Yarrowia lipolytica: one gene and its partner. The protein of the gene in region 1 purifies or fractionates together with the protein of each later gene. This does not show direct contact. Links are inferred from orthologs where the notes say so. Each region holds a gene or a part of one and is shown on either strand. Other genes may lie near its edges. The genes, in order: YALI1_F04259g and YALI1_B27254g.

Region 1 (2,941 bases):
GTCCAACTTATCGAGATAGTCCATGCAAGTGGGAGGCACAGGAGACGGGAACTGAATGCCTCCGTAACCTCCATAACCTTTGTACGACGAGCCAATTCCAAAACCCACACTGAGCTCCTGAGAGCCAGGAAGGAGCTCCGGGTTGGGTGATGCTGATGACGACTTGCCCGAATCTTCGTACGAAGAGCCTCCCTCGCCATTCGTCTCTTTAAGAAGGTTAAGAGCTCTTGTTTTCGAGCCTCGCACAGATCGGGGGTTTGCAGACACGCATTTCTTCATTTTCTGCAAAATGCACTGAGAATTTGTGGGGTCGGAGCACTCTGTTCGTTGCAGAATTGTCTCTACCATGTTGCCCAGGCACAGTTTCTCTTGGGGGGTGAGCTGGTCGATTTCAGTGCCATGAAGCATCTTTTGCACGGGGTGATGAGTGTCCCATTCCCATGCGAGTGTCAACTCCGTACCTGGCTTGATTGGTTCAGTTGCAAACACGACAAAAATGATATCGGTGTTGTTAACCACGACAGTCGCCACTCTGCAGTTTGGATTGCACGAACGGCGCATGAACCGCGCATCATTGCCTACAAGACGACCATCTATCACTAGAGGAAGCGTTGGATGGAACAAGACTGACGATTTGGGCACTGGATGGATGCGATACTGGTTGATTGGGTCTGCCTTGTACTGGTCCTTATGTGAAACATGACCCACGTACTCGATGATGAAGCGGTCTTTCTGAATAGGCTGATTGGCCACAAGTCCATGCTTAGAAAAGCCACAGAACTTGGACTTTGGATTGTCTTGGAACAGCTTTAAGGTCATCTTAGGCTTGACAATCTTTGAATACTCCGATAGAGACATGTAACTGATGTCCTTGTCAATAATTTCCTCATTGGCCAACTTGGCAAGATAATCCTTGACTTCCGGGTCCACGGTATTTCTGGGGATCACAGTGTAATCGAAATGGTAGTCGTTTTCCTCATTGTTGGGCTGTTCCGTTGATTCTCTAGAGGGGGCCACTGGAGGAGTCTGCGTGGCCTGGGTAGTTGCAGACGCGTCACCATTTGACTGGCCCTCCTTCTCTTCCGATTCTTTCCTTCGTTTCTTTTCCTGCATCTGTTTGATAGTCTCCAGGCGAGTCTTTTGTTTCTCATGGGCAGCTTTGACATCCAGTTCTCGAGGTCCACACTGGTCACAGAGATACACGTCTGGAACCTCCGCCTCGGAGCCGATTCCCACACACACGGCGTGTTGCCACACGTTACAGGATTCGCACTGGATGGTGAAACCGTCGTCCTCGTCAAACCCGCATATGCATTTGATGATACCCGCGTCCACAGCGTATTTCATAGTGGAGGGGAGTGATTAGTCAGCGACAAACGGATGGGTATTGTTGTAGATTCGAACTGTGTCGTTTAATATCGTATATGTGTTGTACTGTTTGCGGGATGCTCGTTGTTTGTTCACCTTGGATGAGTGTGTGTCTGGTGGTGATGAAGTTTGGAGGTTTAGGCTGAGTGCATGTGCAGCAGAGTGTATGACAAGCTAAGACAAGGGGTAGGATTAAAAGACCGATTGGGGTGGTAAAGTAAAGTCGTAAAGTGGAAAAAATAAGAGTGTAAAGAGTTGATTAACGCGAAAAATCCCATCACATTTTCATACCGAAACTCCTTCATCTAGTCCATCCGCACGACTACAAGTCTTGCGACTTACTTTTAGAGTTCCCAACCTCGAACCTCCCAAAACAATAAACTCTGGCAAAAACCTGAAATCTTTTCTCCACACCGCTAAGAACCACCACACACATTTCACCATGGCCCACAGACTCATCTATCAAGTTGTCGTGACCGGCACCCAGGTTTTCGCCAAGGCTTTCACCCAGGCCTACAAGCAGGCTGCTACCGCCCAGGCCGCCTCCAAGACCTCCAAGTCGGCAGCATCCAAGTTTGGAGGACTCCAGCTGGACGAGGCCTGTAAGATTCTCGACGTGGACGAGACCGCCCTCGACAAGGTGGTTGCCGAGCTCAACAAGAAACACAAGCTGGAGGACATTGCAGAGTCCGAGTCAGTGCTGGCTCAAATCGACAAGAAGTTCACTCATCTGTACACTGTCAACTCGGAGCACAAGTCGGGCTCCTTCTACCTGCAATCCAAGGTGTACCGAGCCATGGAGCGAATCCGGGGCGAGCTGGAGCTGGACCCGCTGCCCAAGCCCGAGATCGAGGAACCCAAGAAGAAGGAAGAGGAGAAAAAATAATGAGAGAGATAGGGACAGATCGGCACAAACTCGGTGTGAGTAAAAGTGTTTTGTAAATAGCATAACGAGATGATGATACGGAACCGTAACCGGATAGAATGAAAGTAAATCAGGAGCGGACTCTTTGGTGAACTACGCAGTGGTGACATAGGAAGAAACCGAGCAGTAATGGGGAACCAAGCAGTCTATGCAGTTCAGCACATACCATAGCTATACATTTGAAAGGGCCGATCGAAGGAGAGTACAAAAACAAGTAGACTATACTCGTATATAGGCCCCTGGTGTGCTCATTATTCTGTGGCACGTTGCTGCTTATTTTCTCTCGATAGTTCTGTCCTATCAGGTGCTACATACTGTACTGTAAGGAAGCTACTGTACGCCAGAAGAGACGAAACAGTACGATACTTGCAGCAGGTTAAGATACGGATGATCCCGTCCTTTCAATTTCAACACTTTATGGAGGCTGCTTCTACTTAGAAACAGATACTACTGTGTGCTTTCCTTGTTAGGGGGTAACAGATCTCCTACCATGTACGAGTGGTCAGAGCTCTTATACTGATGTTTCGCGGAGAGTATCCAAGTTCGAAGAGCTCCTTTAAGATCCCAGTATCTGACTACTTGTAGCTTCCTAGCTTTTATAAGGGGGCCACTATGAGTGTACTTGAACTGTAGTTGCATATGGCACTG
Region 2 (3,958 bases), on another chromosome or scaffold:
ATCGCATCGGTACATTTATCGACTATTTTCTCTCTATAAGAGTACGCCCACTTTTTTTCCACCATCCTGAGCACTCCACTTTTCCAACTATATTTAGAACACTTGTTTTCCAGCAAGTTCTGGCCATGGCAGAAAAACGCATGGCATTCATAAACACACTGAAGAGAGACGTGTTCGAGTGTGACCCTTTTTTTCTTGCGGCAATGCAATGCACTGGGCTGATCGAAAGGTCGAAATATACAGGTGCTCACGTTATCCAAGCCCCAGTTTTAAACGGCTTTTCACTAGTCCACATATGACGGATTGTGCAATTCTCGTACTTGTACTGTAGATTCAAAAGAGCACTTCCTTTAAACACCACTCTACCAGCCTCATTTCCCCACCTCTAACACCACTGTCGTTATAACACAACACGTACTGTACTGTAAGAAACCTACGGCTGTGAGACAAGTGCACATCTGGGAGCGCTCAGCCCCACAAAATGCCCTAACCTTCAGTGACCTCATACGGCTGATAAGCTGCGGTCTTCCGGGTAACAGACACACGGTCTGTATTACGCACAGTCTATACTGACCGCCTTGTCTTGGAGTGGAGGCACGTGGAACAGACCTCTTTTCATGCACCCAGTCCAAACTTTGTCTTGGAACGAAATTGCAGATGATAGGACGAGAGTGTATGGTGGGGCTGTGGTTGTATCACTACTGTCTTGCGGCATATACAGCCTCCGTTGCTGCCAGTTCTGATATTATTCTTCTTAGCAGCTCTCAACTTCTCCCGTTTACGGTTAACCTCAATTCTCTCAGCATGCAGTGTCATTTATTGGGTTTGGAGGTTTTGAGATACCATTATCGCAGTTGTGGATTGGGCATAAGTATATTAAAAAGCTGTACGTACATATATAAGTATTGCTGCTGATGTTGTTTGGTGACAATGTACGCGCGAGTACCGGTAGCAACCAGACAATAGTTGCGTCTGGTGGTATTGTTTTGTCTTGTGTTTCAGAGGTATACAACGCTTCTTCATATCACTCAGCAACCAGCTCCATATAAATGCCGCCCAGTCCCCATGGAACCCACATAAAACCCGCCGATCACTTTTTAGACTAATTACCTAGCTACACTACTCTGAGCCTGTCTATGTTGTATTTGGACCGAATACTTCCCAACTGGTAGCCTCGTTTGCGATGCGAGCCCTTTATGGCTCTCCCTGGCTCGGGTTCCTTGTACTCGTACCTGTGGCTCGTAACATCTCTCGATCATTGTCCTAACCCTGTGTCCCAACCTGGCAACCTACAAATAGCTGTATGGGAGCCATACAAACACTCACGGCTTTTTCTGTGTGCACTGTAAGCTCGCTGTAAGCTCGAAGCTGGACTTGCTATGCAAGGGGCAGTGTTCGATCGAATCAGTGAAGAAAGATAAGGGATTCCTGTAAGTAATAGGTTAAGTACCAATGGCTCAAATAGTTGGAAATTAGTTGGGGTTCTGATAAAGACAACATCTCGAAAAGTATACCAATCTGTAAAGATAGTGACAGACAGTACACTTAGACGAATCACCTCTCGTTATTGTCTTATTTTAGCCCTCAAAATCGACCCTACCTCCCTCCCCAGCATCACCGACATCAAGCCGGTGTCTGACTAAGACAATTACACTTTTGGTGGGAGACGCACTCGATTTCTCAGAACGCATCACTTGACATCACTTTTAGAACCCAAAGGAAAACATGAACCGTCATTTTCACCGTTGAAATTTCGGGGTTAAAGAAGTGTACAGAAAATCCATACGGAGGGCTAAACGACCAACGTAAAGATGAATAGAATGGCGGAAATGGAAATCCTCAAAATAAAAATGTGGGAATACTCGCCACCCAAGCTGCCTTATAACACCCAAGTCCACTGGCTCTCGTCAGTGGCAAATGTCACTCCACATTACCGCCTTGTAGAAGTCTGTAGGCCCCGAAACAAAGTATATTAGATTTTCCACTGCACATTGACTCTTCATCATCCACAATGCACAGTCTACTGCGAGCAGCCCAGATTGCACGGGTGGCACGTCCCGGTGTCAAGCGGGCCATGACCCCCGCCGTGCGATTCTACTCGGACAAAAAAACCGAGAAATCCGACCAACCGTTCCAGAGCTCTTTGCTGAACGACGATTTGCTGGCCCAGGCCGGTATGGACGTTGATGAGTCCAAGGGCAAGAGCAAGCCTGCTGCTGAGGGCAAGTCCGAGGGTGCTGCCGAGGGAGCTACTGAGGACGATGTCACAGACGAGCAGCGAGCCCGATGGGCCGGAACTGCCAAGAAGTCCACCGACCAGACCTCCAAGCAGGAGTCTCGAGAGCGAATTGCCGGCTACGGATACTACGCCTTCTTTGCTGGATCAGCAGCTTTCGCCGCCTACCTGGCCCGAGACTGGGACAATGAGGAGGACAAGAAGAAGCATGATACCATTGGCCAGGGATACACCCCCATGCTCATGTGGGCCCGTCTCAAGGCTCGAATCGGAGACACCTTTTCCTTCTACCGAGACCCCGTGGCTCCCGTTCTTCTCCCCGATCCCCCTGCTCCCCCGTACCAGCGACCTTTGACGCTTGTTATTGCCCTCGACGATCTGCTTGTCCACCAGGAGTGGAGCAGAGAGCATGGCTGGCGAGTGGCAAAGCGACCTGGCGTTGACTACTTCCTGGGCTACCTCGGCCAGTACTATGAGATTGTTCTTTTCTCTTCTCAGTACATGGCCAACTGCGAGAAGCTCATCATGAAGCTTGATCCCTACCACGCCTGGTTCTCCCACGTTCTGACCCGAGAGCACACCACTTACGAGGACGGTAAGCTGGTCAAGGACCTGTCTCTGATGAACCGAGATATGGGCAAGATCATCATCATCGACCCCGATACCGGATGCACCATGAAGCAGCCCGAGAACTCCATCCCCATCGAGCCCTGGAAGGGAACTCCCGGCGACAAGGAGCTGGTCAAGTTGATCCCCTTCCTGGAATGGCTGGTGTCTCAGAACGTGAACGACGTTCGACCCATTCTTAAGGCCTTTGATGGCACCTATCTGCCTGACGAGTTCACCCGACGAGAGGCCATTGCCCGAGAAAAGTTCGAAAAGGACTGGTACGCCAAGCACGGAAAGGACGGCCAGTGGGCCTCCAAGTTCCTGGGTGTCTCCGAGCCCAAGCAGCAGAAGCCTCTGATGCCCCACGACGTGATGCGACGAGAGGGCCAGAAGCAGTACCAGAAGTTCCTGGAGTACCTGGCCGTTGAGGGCCCCAAGCTCAAGGCCGAGGAGGAGCGAATGATTGCTGAGCAGAAGGCTATGGGACCTAAGAACCTGTCGGAGGCTGTCTCCAGCATTGGTTCTCTACCTCCTGTGCCCCAGCAGCCCACTGAGCCCAAAGCTTAGATGTATATAGTATGAGTTAACGTGGCACGATGAGTGATAGAGCCATGAGCGAGCCATGTGTGAGCCATGTGTGAAGCGAATGGTGAAGCGAATGACAACGCGATTGGATAAATGTAGCTGCTGTAGCCGTAGTCCGGGCCTATTCAATCGCTGGCTGAGAACTGTTAGTCACTGCCCCTTCTTCGCTACAAACTGTCTGATGTATGTCTGTTGCACAAGCGCATATATATATCCCGTGTCTGGTGAAGGGAAAGGACGACGGCTGGGGGAAACACAAATATATATCAAACGCGATGTGCACTTTTCATATCAACGACTTGCTGTTATCTTGAGATGAGCCAGATTGACTCTGATCTGTTACCCTGATAACGACGCACCCAGTTTATTTATATCTTCAGTATGCATTGATACGAGCTGCCTCGGTATGAGCCCTGGTATCTCTTTCATCAGACTATAAGTACACACCAAGTTTTTTCCGAAGTTGATGAACATACAAGTATTAGTATGAGTACATTATTCTGGAAGAGTGGCGACGAAACTGTAGTC

Evidence for each region.
Region 2: the proteins of YALI1_F04259g (region 1) and YALI1_B27254g purify together in Saccharomyces cerevisiae (affinity purification with western blotting, with the first as the bait; 4 studies listed by BioGRID). This does not show direct contact. The link is inferred for Yarrowia lipolytica from reciprocal best matches to the Saccharomyces cerevisiae genes PAM16 and TIM50.

The regions. Positions count from the first base shown.
Region 1 is NC_090775.1:424,829-427,769, reverse strand, and holds YALI1_F04259g (uncharacterized protein), read left to right. Parts: upstream 1-1,810; coding exon 1,811-2,254; downstream 2,255-2,941. Other genes in the region: YALI1_F04264g (uncharacterized protein), read right to left, coding at 1-1,347. UniProt on the Saccharomyces cerevisiae protein: Essential component of the PAM complex, a complex required for the translocation of transit peptide-containing proteins from the inner membrane into the mitochondrial matrix in an ATP-dependent manner.
Region 2 is NC_090771.1:2,723,434-2,727,391, forward strand, and holds YALI1_B27254g (uncharacterized protein), read left to right. Parts: upstream 1-2,011; coding exon 2,012-3,412; downstream 3,413-3,958.